Linked DNA regions of Saccharomyces cerevisiae S288C. Each later gene encodes a partner of the first gene's protein in a complex. Each region holds a gene or a part of one and is shown in the gene's direction. Other genes may lie near its edges. The genes, in order: RPA12 and RPA43.

The links.
Region 2: RPA12 (region 1) and RPA43 share a complex: the UniProt entries of both Saccharomyces cerevisiae proteins name them as parts of the RNA polymerase I (Pol I) complex.

The regions. Positions count from the first base shown.
Region 1 is NC_001142.9:548,542-560,423, forward strand, and holds RPA12 (DNA-directed RNA polymerase I core subunit RPA12), read left to right. Parts: upstream 1-6,653; coding exon 6,654-7,031; downstream 7,032-11,882. Other genes in the region: CBF1 (Cbf1p), read left to right, coding at 218-1,273; MNN14 (Mnn14p), read left to right, coding at 1,970-4,777; NTA1 (amidase), read right to left, coding at 4,935-6,308; chaperonin-containing T-complex subunit CCT5, read left to right, coding at 7,373-9,061; ARP3 (actin-related protein 3), read right to left, coding at 9,268-10,617; phosphatidylinositol kinase-related protein kinase TOR1, read left to right, coding at 10,875-11,882. UniProt on the Saccharomyces cerevisiae protein: DNA-dependent RNA polymerases catalyze the transcription of DNA into RNA using the four ribonucleoside triphosphates as substrates. Component of RNA polymerase I (Pol I) which synthesizes ribosomal RNA precursors.
Region 2 is NC_001147.6:949,553-961,960, reverse strand, and holds RPA43 (DNA-directed RNA polymerase I subunit RPA43), read left to right. Parts: upstream 1-1,778; coding exon 1,779-2,759; downstream 2,760-12,408. Other genes in the region: DNA-directed RNA polymerase I core subunit RPA190, read right to left, coding at 1-974; putative E2 ubiquitin-protein ligase UBC11, read left to right, coding at 3,129-3,599; YOR338W (uncharacterized protein), read right to left, coding at 3,972-5,063; TEA1 (Tea1p), read right to left, coding at 5,338-7,617; KRE5 (Kre5p), read right to left, coding at 8,091-12,188. UniProt on the Saccharomyces cerevisiae protein: DNA-dependent RNA polymerases catalyze the transcription of DNA into RNA using the four ribonucleoside triphosphates as substrates. Component of RNA polymerase I (Pol I) which synthesizes ribosomal RNA precursors.

The DNA.
Region 1 (11,882 bases):
AAAAAAAATAAAATCGGACGAGAAAAGTATTGGGCAAACAACAATTATCCACGTGCTTATCACGTTTTTTTATTTAATGTAGAATGTAAACCATTATACCTTAAAGATAAACACTTTGTTAATTAATCATTTTAGTTGGCGGTCATTTTCATTTCTGCTACAAGTACCAACATCAAGTGCTTAAAATATAATACGGTTTTCTACACTTTTATTAACGATGAACTCTCTGGCAAATAATAATAAGCTTTCTACTGAGGATGAGGAAATCCATTCGGCAAGAAAAAGAGGCTATAACGAGGAGCAGAACTACAGCGAGGCCAGGAAAAAGCAAAGAGATCAAGGCTTGTTGTCACAAGAGAGCAATGACGGAAATATTGACTCTGCTCTGTTGAGCGAAGGGGCTACGCTAAAAGGGACTCAAAGTCAGTATGAAAGCGGACTGACGTCTAACAAAGATGAGAAAGGAAGTGATGACGAAGATGCGTCAGTGGCTGAGGCTGCTGTTGCCGCTACCGTCAATTATACAGACTTAATCCAGGGCCAGGAAGATAGTTCTGATGCCCACACATCTAATCAAACGAACGCGAATGGTGAGCACAAGGATTCCCTTAATGGGGAAAGAGCCATAACCCCATCAAATGAAGGAGTCAAGCCAAACACCTCCCTGGAGGGAATGACGTCTTCACCAATGGAATCTACACAGCAATCTAAAAACGACATGCTCATACCATTGGCAGAACACGATCGTGGGCCAGAACACCAACAGGATGATGAAGACAATGATGACGCTGACATTGATCTCAAAAAGGATATAAGCATGCAGCCGGGTCGTCGTGGAAGAAAACCTACTACTTTGGCCACAACAGACGAGTGGAAAAAGCAAAGAAAAGACTCCCATAAAGAAGTCGAAAGGCGTCGCCGCGAAAACATCAACACTGCAATCAACGTTTTAAGCGACCTCCTGCCCGTGAGAGAATCAAGTAAGGCAGCAATATTGGCGTGTGCCGCTGAATACATTCAAAAATTGAAAGAAACCGATGAAGCAAACATCGAAAAGTGGACGTTACAAAAATTGCTTAGCGAGCAAAACGCATCGCAATTAGCCAGTGCAAATGAGAAACTGCAGGAAGAACTGGGAAATGCTTACAAAGAAATCGAGTACATGAAACGCGTTTTAAGGAAGGAGGGAATAGAATACGAGGATATGCACACTCACAAGAAACAAGAGAACGAAAGAAAAAGCACTAGGAGCGATAATCCACATGAGGCTTGAGAGTTAAAAATAGATAGCTAAATGTATTTCGAGTCTCCCTATGTATCTGCGTCTCTGCCCCATAGCACCTCTGTTAAGTTTTTATCAATATTCCATCGGCATATTTGAAACCGCCCGGATGGTATTAGAGAATCACTCAGCCTCAAACTCAGCAAGTAAAAGAGGACGGGACGGACTTTCAAATATGTCTTTGTACGTTATTGTTTTTCATCCCTAAATGGCTTAGTAAAAAAGTTTTGCCAAGAATTTTTTGACGTTCAATGGAAAAATCGCCAAGAGAAATACGCACAACCTCCGTTTTCCCGCCTTTTATCAAAAAATCTTAGTTTTCCCTTCCTTTTTTTTTTTTTGGGTCGCAGAAAAGAAAAAAGATAGTAGTGGAGAGGATTACCTGAAAAAAACAGGCAAAAACGTCACATCCTTGAAGGTCCGCGACAATCACGGGCCTATTTCTACTTTGGGGCTTTGCTTGATTATTTAAGAAGAAACATTGGACGAAGATCAAGTAAGAGTGCACTTGTCTTTAGTCTGGCATTCCGCTATTTGTATCTTATATAGTTAACAACAACTGTTATTTACTTTCTGGAAAACAACCAACGTTTATTTTTATGAATTAGAATCATTGAGATTGTCTAAACGAGAGGAAGAGAAAGAAAGAGAGAAAGAGAAAAGAAAGCGAAGCAAGATACAATTCCAATGATGTTATCACTGCGCAGGTTCTCCATGTACGTTTTGAGATCTCTGCGGCTTCACTTTAAAAAGATAATCATTACTCTTCTAACTATCCAGTTACTATTCATTACCATATTTGTATTGGGCGGTCGCTCGTCGATTATTGACGGTAACTGGAAGTCATTCATGGCGCTCTTTTTCAAACCGCTTGCTTACACTAACAGAAACAACAACCATGCTTCTTTCGATCTGAGATCAAAAGACAACGTAGCCAAACTTTACGAAAAAATGAATTTTGATACTTCAGGCAAATGGATCGACACGTACACCTTGAAGAATAATCTTCTCACTGTGAAAATGGGTCCTGAAAAAGGGCAAGTTCTTGATTCGGTAGATGAATTGAGATATTACGATAACGACCCAAGGCTGGTATGGTCAGTTTTACTAGATCACTTATTAGAATCAGATTCCAATGAATACGCATTTTCGTGGTACGATTGGGCTAATTTTGACTCTACAAACAAACTCATTGCACTGAGACACACGAACATATCTTGCCAGTTCGTTTGCGAGGGTGCCTTTGATAAAAATGTGCTAGAAATGGTAGAGAGTGAAGTCCAAGAGCCTTTATTCGTCACAAATAGGAATAAATATGACGAATCGCTCTGGTACAACAGGGTAAGAAAGGTTGTCGATTCTAATTCTGTGCAGCAAGCCATACATGATCACTGCATGAATAATGACGCGTATTCCAATGGTACTCCCTTCGAATTGCCTTTTATCATAAGCGAAATTTCTGAAAGGTTGAGGCCAGAAGTGTATGACTTACAAGCCAAAAACCACTTGTTATATTCTAACTTTACTCCACTGTCATTAACCGTACTGGACAGCGATAAAGATGCATACAGAATCAATTTGAAGACAACAGACTCTTCCAAATCAAATATAGTACAGACAAATCTACTACAGAATTACATTAAGAGGCACAGAAATGAAATGGTAAATGGCGACCTCATTTTCAACCACACTTCCATGTTTGAAAAATTTTTACATCATGGATCCACTAAAAAAAGGAAACTTGACGTTGAAGCGTTGGATAAAACAATATACGCTGGAGAGTATCTAGAACTATCACCATCTGATTTCCAATTCAATGCAAAAGAGAGGATCATTGAATTAGAGACCAGGCTCAGGTCTGAAGGCCTACCATCTCATGATACCCACTATTTACGAAGTTTAAAGACGTCCGTAAATACGTCCCCTGCATTACAGCAAAAGTATTTCGCAGAGGCCTCTGATATTACGGACGCGACTGCCGATGGTCATCATAGAGACAGGCGATTTTTCTCAATCGGACATAATCTCCTAAATGACCCTCAGGAGTTTGAAGCAAGATTGAATTCTTTGATCAGAAATTTTCAGAAATTTGTTAAGGCTAACGGATTAATTTCCTGGCTATCGCATGGTACATTGTATGGATATCTATATGATGGTCTGAAGTTTCCCTGGGATGTCGACCATGATTTACAGATGCCCATTAAACATTTACATTACTTGAGTCAATATTTCAACCAATCCCTAATATTAGAAGATCCAAGAGAAGGTAATGGAAGATTCTTACTAGATGTAGGAAGCGCAATTACGGTAGGAGTTCATGGGAACGGCGAAAACAATATTGATGCTCGTTTCATCGATATTGACTCAGGTATATACATTGACATCACGGGACTTAGCGTTAGTTCCGATGCGGCTAAACAGTACATGTCCAAATTTGTAGAAGAAGAAAGCTCGGGCGAAAGCTTTTCTGCCCTTATTGAAGACTATAAGTTTGACGAAAACGACTATTTTGACGAGGTGGATGGTAGAGAAGGTTTAGCTAAATATACCATACATGAATTAATGGAATGGGTTAATTCTCATCCAGACGACTTTACGGATGCAGAAAAGAATTTAGTCACCAAAACATACAAGAAAGAGCTTGCAATTTCGAGAAGCGATTATGCTGAAAAAGACTTGTCTCCGAAACAAAGGTATTTGGTAAATGAGAAGTATAACCTTTACAATTGTAGAAACCAGCATTTTTCCAGTCTAAACATCATATCACCCTTGAGAAATACAATGTTCAGCGGTGTGTCAGCATTTGTTCCTAATAGGCCCATAGCAACATTGAATAATGAGTATAAAGTTCCGGCAAAATACGGGCTTTTGTCATTCCAAGGTAAGGTGTATTTACCGGAATTCAGATACTGGTTCTCGTTTGCAGACATGAAGAAGTTTGCAAATTTGCAGCTGAAAGAACCCAAGATAACACGACTGGAAAGTCCCTTAAATGATTTAAAATTCAGCGACATAAGCCTACTGATAACAAACATTTTAAAATGTGGGTTTCACTCCGTATTTGCCAGCTTATTTAATTCTTTTGACAGTACTGTTTACAGACTCAAAGAGCTTGAAATACAGTATGATCCTAGCTTGAGTGAGGAAGAAAAAAGTAGTCTATTAAAAACTCTACGGCGAGGAATGTCAAAAAAAATAAAATCACCAGAAAAAGATCCGATCATATATATATACGAAAGAAAGTTATGGGAAAACGTGGAAAAGTTGTTGAATGCGTCAAACATCTACAACATTGCTTCACAAGTTGAGAAGGAAAAAGGTAAAGAGTTTGTTGAACGGTCCCAGCAAGTATATGAAAGAAACTTTGACGGCTTCAGACTTCCCGATGGCGGCAACAGTAAGACTGTAAATGATCTGAATTCTAAGGGCTTAAATCTCTTTGGTGATAATAAGAAAACTTCAAACAATATATTTGGTTCAGACCAAAAATATTAAAAAACGTTCCCTTATCCTTCGGAATAGGATAATAACAAAAACCATTATTTATTCATTCTTGCCTCACTTAAATTCGGCCCTTACGGCGACATTTCAATAACATAAATATGCGTGTAACCTTATTAATTTATAATGTCTAATTTATTATAATATTCCTTCACCTAAACACTTCAAATTGGACCTCACGCAATATAGCGCCTTCTAGACCCTTGCCCAAATTACCCAGCAACTCTACGCTTTCATTGAGAGAATCAAGCGAACTCTCATCATCATCCTGTGAACCTTTAGGTTTTTTACCGTTAAATTTATAAATGCCAGAACTTCCTGCAAAAATCGTGGTACCATCTTCAGTACCACATCTGTTAGCTAGCACCAAAATCGCATTCTTTCCTTGGAACTTCCAAGGCTGTCCAAGGGAGGTTCCCAAAAATGTCTTTTCCAGTACTGTATCCTTTATCACTTCCTCAGAATCCAATAAGTCTATTGTGTCCTCCTTGTGCTTTCCATCTTTATAATATTCATGATCTAGGGGCATTCTAGTTTTGCCCAAAATGCTTTCGATAAGAGATGAATTTTTAAACCAATTAATTCTGGATTTAAAGTACAAAAAAGGAAAAAATCGTAGAATCCAGTAGTTTACGTTTGACATATCTGGTTCATCCATATCCTTATATTCACTTGTACTGTCGTCAGAAGGCACTCTGGGCGTACGTTGCGAATCACCAATTTTAAGCTGGTAAATTCCTTGAGATCCTGCCAAAGGCAACCCTTGCTCCTTTAAAGCGAAAGCTATTTTGTTCTTAGCGGCTTCTAATAATGAATTGTTATGTAACGTCTGTTTGTCTGTGATAGAAGTAGAGTTTAACCACGCCATTGGACATAGAATCAATTCAACATTATTGTCAACGCAAAAAGAAGAGAATTCAAAGTGATTAAAGGGGGCCATGAATTTGTAGGGACTTAAGTCCATACAAATACCTATTGATGCTTTCAAAGTCACATCTCTGTTGTAAGAGTCCTCATTAGAAAGCTTAGCACACTTTGAAAAATCCATGGGAAACGTCTGAAATCCCTCTGGATTCTCCTCGCAATCCCAATTCATTTCTGTATCATAGAGAAAAGTCTTTCTGTAATTAAAGATCTGCTCCCCCTGCGGATTTACTACCAGGGCAGAATTGTATAGCTTCTGTTCATCATCATCTTCAGGATATCCTATTATAGTGTAGCATTGAAATTTCTCGGATATTGATTTAGCCAGTTCAAAAGAGGGCCCTTCATCTTTCTTAGTAACATAAGGTAAAATATCTTTTCTGGCATGAAAACTGTAACCTGTCAATGCAAATTCGGGGAATAGTATTATGTCTGGTTTCACATAGGTGGCACTTTTCGTAACTTTATCCAATATTGACCATGTTCTCTTAATTGTTTGATCTACTTGCCCAATTTGCGGATTGAGTTGAATTACTAGTACCTTTAGTGATACTAAAAGTTTTGTGCTCATCTTAGCACCATGAATTGCGTCTATTAGCATTCACTGAATGTCACGATAGAGTTATCGCTGTAAACTAGCACTTTTTAGCATTGAAATGCTTAAAATGTGTGAAACTAAAGTGGTTTTATTTCCAAAGAAGGGTTATCCCTTACTAGGGCAACGAATGAATATCTATTAGGGCTATAAAACAAAAATAGTTAAGTGAGATATATACCCTCTTGAATGGTGCAGGGTAAATAATTATATATCGTTACGAACGAAAGATGAAAAATATGAAAAAAAAAAAAATCAAATTTATGTCAAGTGAAGGGCATTGCATGGCAAGTGTAAAGAATCCAAGAAGAAAAGAAAGGCTTAAAGCAATCCAGGTTAGTACTTATAAGAATGTCTGTTGTAGGATCGTTAATTTTTTGCTTGGACTGTGGTGATCTCCTGGAAAATCCTAATGCCGTATTAGGCTCTAACGTTGAATGCAGCCAATGTAAAGCCATATATCCCAAGTCACAATTCTCCAATTTAAAAGTCGTCACCACGACGGCAGACGATGCGTTTCCATCTTCTCTTAGAGCCAAGAAATCCGTGGTTAAAACTTCTTTGAAGAAGAACGAACTGAAAGACGGCGCTACTATCAAGGAAAAGTGTCCTCAGTGTGGAAATGAAGAGATGAACTATCATACTTTACAGTTAAGATCTGCAGATGAAGGTGCTACTGTCTTCTATACATGCACTTCCTGTGGTTACAAGTTCCGTACCAACAATTGATTGGGTTGTGTTCGCACATATTACAATTTGTACATTAATATCATCCCCGCTTTCATCATGTGAACATCTATAGAACATCATTTATAAAAACAAAAAATCTATGTACTGACGATATAATAGCGTACATTATCATATTATTCTTACTATTTATCATACTCATCGCATCTACTGTTCTCGAGAACGTGTAAAGTGATTTATGCCATTGAATGAAAAATTTTGTTAAGGAACAACTAGAAATATAATAGTGTCTTGGTGGATGTGGCAAATGAGGTGTGCGTGATAAAGAGCTACAAACTCAAAGTAATAACAGCTATCATCCATTTTTATAGCAATATTTGAAAATGGCTGCTCGTCCACAACAACCTCCTATGGAAATGCCGGATCTGTCGAACGCCATTGTGGCACAAGACGAGATGGGTAGACCCTTTATTATCGTGAAGGATCAAGGTAACAAGAAGAGACAGCACGGATTAGAGGCCAAGAAATCACATATATTGGCTGCTAGATCAGTAGCTTCTATTATCAAAACTTCGTTGGGTCCCCGTGGGTTAGATAAGATCTTGATTTCACCTGACGGTGAAATCACCATCACTAACGATGGTGCTACAATTTTGTCCCAAATGGAGCTAGATAATGAGATTGCAAAGTTGTTAGTACAACTTTCCAAATCTCAAGATGATGAAATTGGTGATGGTACTACTGGTGTTGTTGTTCTGGCAAGTGCGCTACTTGACCAAGCATTGGAGTTAATTCAAAAGGGTATACATCCAATCAAAATCGCTAATGGATTTGATGAAGCCGCCAAATTAGCCATTTCCAAGTTAGAAGAAACATGTGACGACATTTCTGCGTCAAACGATGAATTGTTCAGGGACTTTTTATTGAGGGCCGCCAAAACTTCTTTGGGCTCCAAAATTGTTTCCAAGGATCATGATAGATTTGCTGAAATGGCTGTGGAAGCCGTCATAAATGTCATGGACAAAGATCGTAAAGACGTGGATTTCGATTTAATCAAAATGCAAGGACGGGTTGGCGGATCTATAAGCGATTCAAAATTGATTAATGGTGTCATTTTGGATAAAGATTTTTCTCATCCACAAATGCCTAAATGTGTTTTACCAAAAGAGGGCTCTGATGGTGTTAAGTTAGCTATATTAACGTGTCCATTTGAACCTCCTAAACCAAAGACCAAGCATAAATTAGACATTTCTTCAGTAGAAGAATACCAAAAATTACAGACTTATGAACAAGATAAGTTCAAAGAAATGATAGACGATGTGAAGAAAGCGGGCGCAGATGTTGTTATATGCCAATGGGGGTTTGACGATGAGGCCAATCATCTACTTCTACAGAATGATTTACCTGCCGTAAGATGGGTAGGTGGCCAAGAACTAGAACACATTGCCATTTCCACAAACGGTCGCATTGTTCCAAGATTTCAAGACTTGTCTAAGGATAAATTAGGTACATGTTCCAGAATTTACGAGCAGGAGTTTGGTACTACTAAGGATCGTATGCTGATTATCGAGCAAAGTAAAGAAACAAAAACTGTAACATGTTTTGTTCGCGGTTCCAATAAAATGATCGTGGATGAAGCTGAACGTGCATTGCATGACTCACTATGTGTGGTACGTAACTTGGTTAAAGACTCACGTGTAGTTTACGGTGGGGGAGCAGCCGAAGTGACTATGTCCCTGGCTGTCTCTGAGGAAGCTGATAAGCAACGTGGTATTGATCAGTATGCATTCCGTGGATTCGCCCAAGCGTTAGACACCATTCCAATGACTTTGGCTGAAAATTCTGGTCTTGATCCAATCGGAACTTTGTCTACATTGAAAAGTAAACAACTGAAAGAAAAGATTTCCAACATTGGTGTCGATTGCTTAGGTTACGGGTCTAATGACATGAAGGAACTATTTGTCGTTGATCCATTTATTGGCAAAAAGCAGCAAATTCTTTTAGCTACTCAATTATGTAGAATGATTTTAAAGATTGATAACGTCATCATTAGTGGTAAAGATGAGTATTGATTTTGTATAAATAAATAATAAAAGATAAGTTTTAATCACATATCCCACAATTTTTTTTCTCAGATCAGCATTTGGGGTTACTTGATTGTACATATACGTGTATATAATCAGTTGTATACGTATATTTAAATGAAGTGAGGGGCGTTTCAGTTATTTGCATTTGTTTTTGTACCTTTTTCCTTATAAGATGAGTCATGACTCAATAATCAAACCATGTTGAAAAGGCTGAAATTTCTAACAATTTCCGGACCATATTCCTCATAATCTTTCTTAGTGTGACAGTAGCCTTTGAATTCGGCTGTTTGTGCCAGCAGCGAGCCACCAAACCAGACAGCGTTTCTCTGCTTCCGATGAGAAATCACGGAAACATCTACACCAGTCGATTTAGTTCCACTTAACAGCTCACTTTGTGCGATTCTGTTATTTACGATAGACTTTAGATCTCTTTGTAAACGACGTCCAAAATCTTTGAACATGGTAGACCCACCTGATAGTACAATATTGTTGTATAAACCTTTACGGACGTCAATAGGGCAAGCCTGGATAGTTTGATCCACTACCGTGGGTAAAGGAGTCAAGAAGTCTGAGGATGCAATTTCTGGATTGAAGAAGATTTCAGGTGCTAAGAATCTTTCGTAACCAATATCTACGACTTTTCTCCTTGTCTTTTCTTGGTTTTCCACCACAAATTGGGCAAATTTAGAAGGATCTTTATCGAATTTGTTAAACTCCTTTACAATATCTGGACAGACGTAACAGTATTCTTGCTTAATCTTTTCGGCAGTTCTCAAGGAAGTGTCTGCTTCACCACGTTCTCTTAGCAAGGATTGGATGAACAATGTGATGTCTCTACCGGCTATTGGAATGTTTTTAATTGCTGAGCCAATGACGTAACCTTCCGCCACTGGGATGACGTGGGTGACACCATCACCAGAATCTATAACAGTACCAGTTAATGATCTATCCGTGACTTTTGAAGAGGTCCATGACGCAGCCAGAGCCAAAACTGCTTGCACAGCAATATATAGACCAGCACAATTAAATGATTCAAAAAAAATCTCCGCCACTTGCTCTCTGTTTTCTGGAGGATTCAGTGGTGGTTCGGTCAATAGGAAAAAATGATCTTCAGGCTCTGTTCTTAAATACTTGAAGATGGAATTTTCCCAGAATCTTTCCATGTGATCCCAATTTTCCACTTGACCGTGTCTGATTGGATAGCTCAAAGAGTAAGAGGGTCCTTGGGATGCTACTAAAGCCTCATTTCCAATATAGAAATCCAAATCTTCTGTACCTCTTTTACCGGATAAATTATTAGACAGCAAACCACCTGTTGCACCATTGAAATTGGTTGCAGAGGTGGAATTTCCAAAGTATGATGCTTCATTACTAACTGCTGAGGGCGCACCAACGCCCGAGGACTTCTTTGTATTTGAAGGTGCAGCTGTGGCTATTGCAGTAGGGAAGACCCAGGAGGGAGAATCATTACCGGCGAAACCGAGCTTGGTCAGCCCGGTACCATTGTCCATGACAACAGCGGGATTGTTTAAGTATGACATTGAATCCTAATTTCTTGCTCAATCGTGAGGCCTTACGGTAGGGCCAATTCTTGATTAAACTACTCTCATATATTTTTGTTTGAAACTTTTGAAAAGGGGTTCTCGCCATTTTGAAGCCGCGGACAGCCGGGTGACTACTGAAAGTCCTTATCGAAGGGTCTTCTTGAGCTTACGTTAAAAAAGAGCCATAGTAGCTTCACGAGAGAGTCATTGGTAAAGTGAAACATACATCAACCGGCTAGCAGGTTTGCATTGATATGGAACCGCATGAGGAGCAGATTTGGAAGAGTAAACTTTTGAAAGCGGCTAACAACGATATGGACATGGATAGAAATGTGCCGTTGGCACCGAATCTGAATGTGAATATGAACATGAAAATGAATGCGAGCAGGAACGGGGATGAATTCGGTCTGACTTCTAGTAGGTTTGATGGAGTGGTGATTGGCAGTAATGGGGATGTAAATTTTAAGCCCATTTTGGAGAAAATTTTCCGCGAATTAACCAGTGATTACAAGGAGGAACGAAAATTGGCCAGTATTTCATTATTTGATCTACTAGTATCCTTGGAACATGAATTGTCGATAGAAGAGTTCCAAGCAGTTTCAAATGACATAAACAATAAGATTTTGGAGCTGGTCCATACAAAAAAAACGAGCACTAGGGTAGGGGCTGTTCTATCCATAGACACTTTGATTTCATTCTACGCATATACTGAAAGGTTGCCTAACGAAACTTCACGACTGGCTGGTTACCTTCGAGGGCTAATACCTTCTAATGATGTAGAGGTCATGAGACTCGCTGCAAAGACTCTGGGCAAGTTAGCCGTTCCAGGAGGTACATATACCTCTGATTTCGTGGAATTTGAGATAAAGTCTTGCTTAGAATGGCTTACTGCCTCCACGGAAAAGAATTCATTCTCGAGTTCGAAGCCAGACCATGCTAAACATGCTGCGCTTCTGATTATAACAGCGTTGGCAGAGAATTGTCCTTATTTACTCTACCAATACTTGAATTCCATACTAGATAACATTTGGAGAGCACTAAGAGACCCACATTTGGTGATCAGAATTGATGCGTCCATTACATTGGCCAAATGTCTTTCCACCCTACGAAATAGGGATCCTCAGTTAACTAGCCAGTGGGTGCAGAGATTGGCTACAAGTTGTGAATACGGATTTCAAGTAAACACATTAGAATGCATCCATGCAAGTTTGTTGGTTTATAAGGAAATCTTGTTTTTGAAGGATCCCTTTTTGAATCAAGTG
Region 2 (12,408 bases), on another chromosome or scaffold:
TCCAGAATATTCTTCACTTCAGTAGATAAAATATATGTTGAGCCGGTTTTTGGTCTGGTGGTAGGATTTCTACCAACGTCAAAACTTTCTTCGTCATTTGCAGATGCTTCGTTAGAACCGTCCAATTTCTTAGCCTGTTTTTGCTTCTTAATCATATCTTGACGAATGAAACCTTTTACTCTGTTATTTGTAATTTGTTTTTCATTCAACGCAGTTTCGAAGATTTTTGTAAAACCATCCTTTCTAAATTTTGGCGAAAACATACCACAGTTATCACACTTACCTCTAGATAATAGTTTTTTGTGAAACTCATGGACCAATTTCTTTCGTTCATCATTTACAGTAGCTGTGAAAGAGCCTCTCTCAGTAGTTCTGCCGTCTGACAAAGCTTTAGCGATGGCCATGTCAACATATTCTGAACGCTTACTTTTCAGTTCATTTAAGAGAGTGGAGGAAATATCCTTTGATTGCTTGCTTCCTTCACCATCCATTTCATCCTCATTATCTTCAATAGCTTCGTCGTCAGTGTACATACTGCTATTAAGAGAGCCCAAAGTTATTTCATCTAGTTTGTAAGATTCGTCTATCAAACCGTATTGTAACAATCTCAATTTACATGCGTAACGATGAACCTCTACTGACTTTAAACGGAAATGATGACAGAATAAACATGATGCCCTCAAATAAATATATAGCTGGTTAAAGAACAATGGATTATAACAAGGGACAGGTAATTCAATGTGACCTTGGTGACCTGGACAGAATTTTTCATCCAAACCACAAGTAGAACACAGATTCCTTAAGAATGCACCTAAGGCTAAGTCATATAAACCGCCTGATACTGGATGACCTAAGTTATCTAAAACCGTAGGATTGGTAATTTGCTTTGCTGATAGATTTCTAATCTCTTTAGCTGTTAGGATCCCGAAATCAACGGATGTGATTTCAGAACCAACCGGTTTAGAAATATCCATTTTTCTTTCTGGCTTTGATTATAATCGAAGTACGGCAAAAAAAAAGCAGAAAAAGGATAAAGTTCACTGTATAGTTAATGGATACCTAAGACCAGAATTATTAGCGCAGTACTTTTGTTTTTGATGAAGAGTTTGAGTAAACAGAATAAACCTTTTTAAGAGATGAGATGAGATTTGAAATAAAAAAAATTTTTTCTTTTTTTTTTTTTTTACCAAAATTTTTCACTATAAAATATTACCGAAGAAAACGGGTAATAATAAAAGAACCACCACTAAGAAAATAAACACGATAGTTATAAGGAAATGCAACGCCTTACTTCTATCCTCGATAATTTCTAAGTTCAAATCATTTTAGCTATAAGAGGAGACATAAGAAACTCGAAACAGTATAAGATGTAATTCTGAGACCCTCCGATAGCGGGCAAGGATACGATCTGATCATATGCCGTTCTTGTAAAGTTAAATTTAACTGCGAAGTTAAGTTACTTTTAATCAAGGCCCCGTAATAGATGTATTTCAGGTAGAAGAAACTTGGTGGAATCTTGCTTATTCCAGCTGCAAGTGTATCCTTTGTGTATTCTTGACAGAAAATATTACTGTCGCTTTGAAATGAAAAGATTCCGATGAGGGTGTATGGGTGGTTTGAAAAAAATTTTTCTGCAATAAAATACTAATGGCATCGCAAATATGACAATGTAGTGGAGGTTTACAATAAAATAGAGCCGAAGGGACTATCGTTATACACTCCCTCGTTTTTTTGCTTATATATAATAATATCAGAAAGATAAGAGACAAACGTGGATTATGTCACAAGTAAAAAGAGCCAATGAGAACCGCGAAACCGCAAGGTTCATCAAGAAACACAAAAAACAGGTTACAAACCCAATTGATGAGAAAAATGGAACTTCCAACTGTATAGTGCGTGTTCCCATTGCTCTCTATGTTTCTTTGGCACCAATGTATTTAGAAAATCCCTTGCAAGGTGTCATGAAGCAGCACTTGAACCCATTAGTAATGAAATATAACAACAAAGTTGGAGGTGTTGTGCTAGGTTATGAAGGGTTGAAAATTCTTGATGCTGATCCTTTAAGCAAAGAAGATACATCAGAAAAACTAATAAAAATCACACCCGATACCCCTTTTGGATTTACTTGGTGCCATGTAAACCTATACGTTTGGCAGCCACAAGTTGGAGATGTTTTGGAAGGTTACATTTTCATTCAATCCGCCTCACACATTGGTCTTTTGATTCATGATGCGTTTAATGCTAGTATCAAAAAGAATAATATCCCTGTGGATTGGACCTTTGTCCATAACGACGTGGAAGAAGATGCTGACGTGATAAACACAGATGAAAATAATGGAAACAATAATAACGAAGATAACAAGGATAGCAATGGTGGAAGCAATAGTTTGGGCAAATTTTCCTTTGGAAACAGATCTTTGGGCCACTGGGTAGATTCTAATGGTGAACCCATTGACGGTAAATTGAGGTTCACAGTGAGAAATGTTCATACTACAGGAAGAGTTGTTTCTGTGGACGGTACATTAATAAGTGACGCCGACGAAGAAGGCAATGGCTATAACAGCTCTCGTTCCCAAGCTGAAAGTTTACCTATAGTTTCAAACAAAAAAATTGTATTTGATGACGAAGTTTCAATCGAAAACAAAGAGAGCCACAAGGAACTAGACTTACCTGAAGTAAAAGAAGATAATGGTTCAGAGATCGTATACGAGGAAAACACCAGTGAAAGCAATGATGGTGAATCGAGTGATAGTGATTAGGACGGGAAAAATGAGAAAAAATCAAAACAAATAAAGATATACGTTATTGATATAGGATAATATAAATAATTGTACATTATTACAGTGCTGATAATCAATAGTCCTGCATACGTAGCTAAACCGTGGCAAATTCGACAATATATCAACAGTAATGAAGCTTAATTTGAAATATTTTTCCTTTATAACGTTAATGGACTCTTTTTAATGATGTCATTATTAGAAAGAGATTTTCAAGGAAAAAGCGTTGACTAATAGCGACACAAAACATGCTTCTGACACTGGATAAATGAGATATCAGAAAAAATTTTTCATATTTTACATCTTATAGGTGCTACAAAACCTGTATGATTCGAGGCTTGCTAGTATAGAATGGCAGTAGAAGAGGGTGGTTGCGTGACGAAACGTTTACAAAATGAGCTGCTACAGCTACTTAGTTCTACAACAGAAAGTATTAGTGCGTTTCCCGTAGACGATAATGATTTAACATACTGGGTAGGGTATATTACAGGCCCTAAAGACACACCGTATAGTGGACTTAAATTCAAGGTTTCATTGAAGTTTCCTCAAAACTATCCTTTCCATCCGCCAATGATTAAATTTTTGAGTCCAATGTGGCATCCAAACGTGGATAAGAGTGGCAACATTTGTTTGGACATTCTGAAAGAGAAATGGTCTGCAGTGTATAATGTAGAAACAATTCTATTGTCATTGCAGTCATTACTTGGCGAACCAAATAACAGATCTCCGCTGAACGCTGTGGCAGCAGAACTTTGGGATGCAGATATGGAGGAATACAGAAAAAAGGTCCTGGCCTGTTATGAAGAAATCGACGATTACTGAGTTAACCTAAGTTAGACGAAAAAATGATGTGACAGAAAAGCCACAGACTCTCAAACTCCAATGCTATTTTTCTACGGCGTTCATAACCCGTAATAATTCAATAACAAAATTGATAACGTAACAACCGAAGAAATATAATTAATATAAAAAGAAAACCTCATATATGAACGAAATCTATATGTAAAAAACCATAAATAAAAATATATCAAATGTGTTCTAAGAATAAAAAACCGTAACCGTAACCCTTAACCATAACCATTTAAACGCCTCAATTCTGTATTACTCAATGAGACTGTCATATTCCGTACTTATCAAATTTGCTCGTTTAAACGATGAAACGATACGCTATCCCAAAGGCGTACCGCCTCTTTCTTACAAATACTTTTCAAAATGTTTATCTTGTAACCAACCTACCTTTTCAAATGCTGCAAATAGCCTTGATGCTTTATTAACGTCTATTCTACAAGCCTTTTGAGCATCCGTTCTCCTGAACGGCAACCCCTTTTTGAATCTATGAACTTTTTCCAAGAAAAATCTTCTTTTAGAGTCCAAATAAAGATCACATGGAAGTCTCAGAATCTGTGCGAGAACTAGTTCTGCAGGATGCAGACGCTGTTTGAGAGGATCATGATTCAAGTCCATTGGAGAGCCTTTCCATTCCACTTTTAAAACTTTATTATTACTATTCGGCAAAGTGTGAAGAGGAGGTGAGTAATCCGGCAACTTTTCCCACGACATGCTTGGAATATACTTGGGGACATTATTCACTACGCCCTGTGAGGCCAATGGCGAAGAAATAGTATGAAGAGACCTTTTAACTTGACGTATCGGAGTCACTGATCTAACTGGAACTTCTTGAGCACTTTCTTCATCATAGTTTTCTGACCTGTTTCCATCATCTTCGTACAACTCCCTTGATCTTCTCTTAATTTTCCTATCGTATCTTCTTCTCTTGGGCAGAGCTTCTGAGTTCACAACAGATTTTACCACTTTCAATTTCCTATTTTCTTTGTTAGGAATCCTTTTCGTTGTTTTCATATCTCGGAAGAAGCTATATTGCGATAAGAAATTCCTTGTATTATGGTTGTACTTCTGAGAGTTCAAGCCCGCTTCCCAAACGGGGGTCAACATGATCAGCTCCCTATGGTCGCTTTCCACATTAACCAGCTGAGGCTGGCTTATTATGGGGCATTGCCTCAGCTTTGGCGATAATGGAGGTGAAGGTATTAGGAAGTCATCGATACTTGCATCGATAGCACGGACAACGCTACTATCGGATATCTGTCCGTGTGAGGATTCCATCGAGTTCAATCTCTCTTCAATATTATTCCTGACCACAGCCAATCTCTGCACTTGCTGGTTTAATTTGTAACCTATTTTGTGGGAAGCGGGAATTTTGTTAATACCCCCATTCAATTGAGGATGTTCCGGTGCTGGAGAATGAAATTGCATGTTATCTAGCATCGCAGTCGAAAAAAATTCTCTTTTCTAATCTATATTATTAGTTGATTCTCTATGATGTTCGTTAAGTATTTAAACAGAGTAGATGTCTTAGATATATAAGATCCGGTAAAAAATTTTAACGCAGGCTATGCTGATTAAAAATCCTTCTAGAAGAGCCACAAAACAAGAAAAAGAAATGTTAATTTGAACATTTCTTTTTCCCAGGGACCCCGCGCCTGTGCACCGCATCGCCTTTTAGCCGCCGATACGGAAAAGGTGACAAATATAAAGATCGTCAGAGTTTTTGAGGTGTGCCCACCCCAAACAGTTCTCTGATAAGATCGTCAATTTCGTGGGAGAGTGAAAAATCGTGCGTGTAGTTTATATTTCCAACTTGGTTCAACATCTGGTTTTCTTGTTCTGTTTCCAGCTCCGTATCCTCCTGCAGCTTTTTCGGCAGATCATATGCGGGATATAGTTGTGTGTAGAAGATGTGATTGAAAAAATCCAATTGTGCATTCCATGAGTCTTGCTCACTGGAACGTATCTCTTTCAACTTCTTCAAACAGTTGATGGCCAACAGGCATGAGTAAAGTTGGTAAAGGTTTCCCTTCGTGTAGTTTCCGAATTTTTTCCCGAAATTGTCCAGCAAAGTCTTCAAATCATCGATGATCTCTATGACTACCGTTTCGGATTCTTGAGAGTCTTCTATAAATGGCTTGTTAAAGGTGAGCCGCACTATGTAGTAGCAATACCAGAAGTAAGATATAGTGGGGTCTGTGGATACGTCATCGTTCTCGATGAGTGTTTTCGACCATTGCAAAAATTCCGGTAGAGATTGTCTCCAGTTGTAAACCTGAGAATTGAAAGTGTTCAAGTACTTTAGTTTTCGTGCTATATCTTCCGACTCGATGAAAATTTTAGAGGTGAAGATTTGTACAAGCCTTGATAGAATTATCAAGTTTTTCAGAGGCAAGGATATCTGTAAAACATGTCTTCCAATAAATCTGAACTCTTCGGTGCCGTTGACTTCTGGCAGCTCATCCGACTCTGGCATGGTTGAGTTACTAACGCTTAATGTGGACGTTCTACCCAACATCAGGCAAATAAAATGATCCGCTATATAGCAACCCCAGTAAATCCTTGATCTTATTTCCAACTCACTTTGGGTCAGCTGCAGATTGTTATCATCAACGTACCAGACTTTAGGGTCCAGTTGAAATCCCATGTCGTAGCCGACCCTGATAGCCAGGCCCGAGAAGTACCACCCTAATTGATTATTACCCTTCCCCAGTTCGTAAAAGGCTAAGCAAAATAGCGCTTGGACGGTGGTGATACGGGCTGTACTTTGCTCATCAAAGACGAGCTGTAATAAAGTCTTCTTACTTCGTTGATAATACACTTCTGAATATTCTTGTAGATCCGGTGTAAGCCTCGAACCGACAGCGCACATGGCATATATCAATTCGACAGAACAGTAACTTGAGTCTTCATAGTTATTCTTGGAGTGATTGAAGAATCCATAAAGAAAACTTTCTCTGTGAACAAAAATAAAATAACCTGGATACAGCCACTTATAGAAATTGGAAAGAGATTTTAAAATCCTGGGATCGTTATTGATAGAGTTGGGATTATCATCGTTTAGTCCTCTTACTATTACGGTGGTCTTCAAGTCGGATATACGTTTTTTCAGTTCACCATTAACTAGGACGGAATTACCAGCAGTTATACCGTCAGAAAAAGTAGATGGGTCTGTAGCAGCTGTTAACGAAGACACAGGCAATAAACTGTCCGATTTTACGGGGTGCTTCCGTTTGTAACTGACAGGTCCTTCAGGATAAAGACTACCTTTTACCAACGGTTTCTTCTTTTTTTCACCTTGCGGTGTTAACGATCTTCGTAAAAGTAACTGATCATCAAGGGATTCTTCGAAATTTTGTTTTTGGGTGTTGAAGATACCCGAGTTTAGAGTAGATGGCTCTGTTTGTTGGTTAAAGGACGATAGAGGTTGACTGACCTTATCGTTTTCAATAATGAATGTACCTCTGGTTGCGGGAATTGGAAGAGAGGGAGTTTGGTCAGTATAATTGATTGAGACTTGTGAACTGTCTGGTAGAGCTGATAATACATCACCTACCATCATTCGGTTCAGTATTTGCTCATCGTCAGGGTAGATCTTCTGAACTAGGTTTTTTAAGTTGGTCTCCAGTTGAGCAATATGGCTCTCCAAAGACTTGACATATTTATTAGTGTACCGCTTCTTTCTTAAGTCCTCGTCATTAACATTACAAACCAATTCCAACCTGGAACAGTTACCACAGGGAAATCCTAAATCACATTTTTTCCTTCTATTTCTACAATTAGTGCACGCAAGTCTCTTTCTAGTACTGCCGCCATTAGTAAGTGTATTTGCACCTGTTCCGGAGCGTACATTGGCTGCAGAAGAACTCCTAGAATTTTCTTCGTTTGAGCTCGCGTTTGTGCTACTCAAAATATTGCTGGTCATATCCGTTGATAACGCTCTTTTAACTGTGTGGTTTTTTTCATTCTTGTTTGGCCACAATGGCGCTGTCATTTTTTGATCCAGATGATATATAGCCTCTGTCTTCTTAAATATTAATGAAGGGATTCAATAAATAGGTATATTCATATAATAGAGGCGTTTATAGTAACCAATTGATAACCGTTTAGGCAATCGTCAGCCCATACCTACTTTCCATTTTTGTCTCATCGCTGATTGCAATCTGCTCGAAAAAAAAAAAAAAAAAAAAAAAAAAGAAAAGAAGCGAAACAGACTTCTGCCAGTGATCTTTTGTCATCAAAGAATCTAATGAGTCATGGGGAGCACGGGCAAAACTCGTTCATAGTATTCGCTCAAAAAGCGGAACCCATGTTACTGGATAATCTGCTTTTACTTAAAAAACTCTTGGCGAGAAATTTTATGTTCTAAAAATGATATAAAAATCTATTATGGAAGAAGACTTATGCGCAGAAGCAATTCTTTCACGCTCTTGGAACCGTCGCGTAATGAACTCTTCCTGCGAGTAGTTATAATTCGTCATGCAGAGGAGCGGCATTGTCGGAATCTTGGTATTTGCTGCTAACACTTTCTCCAGGTACGTCTTCATCGCCAGGAGAGGATGCGAACTTATTTATTTTTTTCTTCCATTCAGAAACACATTCATCATTAATAACTAATTTCTTCTTATACGATCCCTTGAGAAACCTAATCGGAACCTCGAGTTGTAGGTTGTTAACTAGATCTTGGCCGATATTGACAAGAGACATGGCGTCTGTAGAAATACGTTGATAGTGAATCCTGTATTTATCACCAGCATCTAACTCCCGAAACCTCTCTAAGTTTACTAAAAAGGCCGGTTCGGTAGAATAAAATTCTAAATTATTCTCCCTTAACATTTTTTCCCAGTATCCTTCTTTCCAATAACCATCACCACTCATTCGGAATAGTCCTAGAGGTGCACGTTTGAGGCCTTGAAATTGAAAAATGTCAAAAGGATCCAGCGGTACTTCAGTTGGACTCATATATAACACTTTGGAGATGTTTTGAGGTAAAAGGACATCCAAGAACAGAAATCTAGAGACATCCCTTCTCCTTGAAGAAAATCTTTGCGGTCTTAACCATTGAGGCCATTCATAATTCAAAAAAATGACATTGCCTCTCATTTCATCAGAGGAATTTATATACTCACATGATTTCCTTAAAGTGTCGGAGATAAACGGCTGATCTAAAATGAAAAAATTCACCTTTTGCGTTTCGGGACACTTTGACAAAATGGATAAAATCATTTGCATGTACCTCTCTTCCTCATCTGGCCCGGACTCTAAAATAGTAAAAATATTGATTATTGTATCATTGTTGCGACCTTCCTCGTATTCTTCCTCGTGTGTAGGCTCTTCTGAAATTTTTACAGCGATTTTTTGTGGATTGTACGACAGTATATCCAAGGAATCTGATGGTATAAAGTCGGGATGCCCGTCAGTAGAAAATGACTGAACGGTATATCTTGAATCACAACTTTTTATATAGCAACCCTTTAAAAATTTGTCGGTATGAAATTGTCCATAGCCAAAGGTTTTCATTGTTGTAGTTTTGTCAATAATGTTCCCTGCAGAATCGACAAGTGCTAGGCATACACCCCCCATACCATCAATATTGCCAGTTGAAAGGACTGTTTTGCTAGAGAAGGAATGTAATTCTATGAGCAATTTTTTTATCCGATAATTATTATCTACAATGAAAGAATTAGGAACATCCATTTCAATATCTACTTCTGGATCTGATCTGCTATCCTCAGAAGTTATTGATTTGACAATATCTGCGTCATCAACGTATATTCTTCTAATAGGGACAATGTTTAATTCCAGTGTCGGCATTAAAATTACCTGAATATTAACAAATTTCAAAGGCCTGAATTGCTCAACAAGAGAAAGAATCATTTGCGTTCTCTCTTCAAGTGGATCTAAAATTAGTAGTAAATCAATAGAAGCTGATTTTCCATCTTCAAACATCGTTAAATTATTAGGTCTAAAAAACTCGCTCAAATCCATTCTTGGTAAGCTACTTTCAGTGGTATAATCAATACCATTATTGTATATATGTGTACCTTGGTAAAACAACCTAGTTAAAATGGAGGAGATCATTTCTATCAAATCAGGATTGATTATTTCCTGTGAGAAACCTGGAAAAAGTAAATCTAGGGCGAAAACTGAATCGATCGTTCTTAGAGCTTCTCTCTTTATGATTGCTTCGAAATGTTCTGTTTCTGGCACTTCATTTTGATCAAGATGAATAAATCTACCGTTCAAAGCAATAAATGAACCCTTTTGCAATTCAAATAATGGAATGTCAGGAAGCCATTTATGAAGGCCTAACTGGTTTAAGCCGCTTTTTTTGTACGTGTGACTTTTTACCTTTTTAAGTTTCAAAGCATCAATAAATGTATTTATTGAGCCTATTGGATCTTTTTGGGAAAGACTTCCACGCAATTGATACCAAATATCAGAAATATCACCTACGTGAATGATTCTGATCCTAACACCAACAAAGGAAGTATGCAACAAGTTTCTCAATCTTTTCAAAGCATGAATAGAGCCAAAATCATCCACTAATGTGATTGTGTGTAATAAATTGTATTCTTCATTTTTAGTATAGTAGCCTATTCTTTCTGAGCATACGCTTTCCAATGCAGTATTGTTGACCGAAGAATATACCGAATCAGCAAAATAATTTGGTGTATATTTATTATGTCTCAGATTTGCAGATTTGTAATGCAATAAGTCCCTTACGCTAATTTGTTTGTTTTTCGGAGAAGAATTGCTCAATTCTTTACGAATAAATTCAGTGTCCTTTTTGATAACTTTTGCAATTAAATAATTCCAAGCATTTTTTCTAAATGGGTAAATCTCTCCATTGATTATAATTGATGTTTCGTCAATTTGAAGTTCATCAAGTAGATGGAAAACATCTGGAACTGGTATGTGTTTTGAATGTTTTGCATTCGCGGAAAGGCCATCTGCAAGCAGCATTGTCTCCAAAAAACTTTTTAATTCTGTTAAATTGTCAGTTGAGTTCTTCAGCTCGTAAATTTTATTAACAACGGACTTGTCACTATCTGAACTAAATGGCAATAGTCCGACTCTTTGCGGATATCCCTGGGAGACAACATTAACGGCACGAACCAACCCACCCAATGCCTCCTTCACCTCACTATCTTCTAAACGGGCGAAATCTATAACGAATATGATCTCTGACCAGTTTTGCTTTATTTCAGGCAACTCTCCGAATTTCGATTTATCAAAAAATGCTTGAACACTATTTACTAATTCGTCATATTGCGGGTCGCTTTCGATATCATTGAAGTATATTACTGATTCTGAGAACCCTGGAATTGTGTGGAGATCCATTTTGATTGGTTGTAAGTTTTGCAACTTCCCCAATGAAAATTGAGAAAACTTATTGAGTAAAAACTTGGAATCTAGTATGCATTTCGATGGCTCGAGTTCTTGCAAAAGGTTCGTAATTTTCAGTAAACTTTGGTATTCAGTTTTTAAAGCAGTAAGCAAATTGTACGGAGTCAGTGAGGTAATTTTCCAATTCTGTCCATTAATATAGAGACCTAGCATGTTGTAATCGAAGCCTTTACTATTGAGTTCTTCATTACTTGTTATTATATCCTTGTTAACAGATGAAACCTTAATCAGTTGTTTAGAGATTAGTGGAAAGTTGTTAACAATACTTTTGGTGAAATTTAGAGTGGCTGTGATATCCTTTTTATATTGGTAAAATTCTGAGATTAACGATGTTACTCTCAAATCAAGTTCACGTAATTCTTCTGGTTCTAGATCATGGAGCTGATCATCGTTGTCTGCTCCAACCAATATTTCTTTGGGTACAGTATATAGTATTTTTTTTAATTGAGGTATGGAGCTCATTCTAGAACCATTTTGTAAAGTAATTTCAAGCGGATGAGTTAAGGGATACTCCACGCTTTTCCCATCAAGGGAACATGTGGATCTCCAAATAAATCTAAATTTTCCCTCTCCATTCATTGCTTCCATAAATAAATTCCTATTGAATTCTTCGAAGTCGGAGTCAATAACGGTAGGACAACCGTACAAGATCAATATCGGCGCTTCTGAGTTAGTACCAATGACAACATCGTAAGGTTGTATAACATCAACATCTGGGACTTTCTGTTGAATTGTTAAATCCTTAGATTTCAAGTAGAACACGTCGTCGGGCTTTTCGTACCTATTACCATTCAAAACGAAATAGCTACTATTTGCATCGTCTTGTTCTGCATTGGAACTGATATCGTGCTGTATCATACCCATAGGGTAAAGACTAGCATACAGTTCCAATAAATCAGCCACATCCTCTTTATCGTATCGCTCCCTTAATACATTGGAAGTTAGCGCCACAAGATTTTCTTGAATATCAATCTCGTCATCCAAACCGGTAACCAAAGGATATAAATTAGTTAACAGCTGATTATCAACATCGCCCAGTAAATGAACTAAAATAGACCAGACCTGAGCAGATTCGGGTATGCCATATCGTAAGCTATAAGTCCATGCACGAAGCGGCGCACACAACAATAACAATACCAACGCAAGTAGTCTCATAATCAACAGAGGCACTCACACTGATACGTCTATATTCTACCAGGACAATTAATCTTTAATATGCCACGTTATATAGTTAGTTAATTAGTATACTAACTATATGAGTTATTGACAATCCGGGTAATGCACACATTAATAATCTTTCATGTCTTTCGAATCAACTGAAATTGGATATATACGTAAGACAGAGCGTGCTGAGCAAGATTCAAATTGTTCTAGT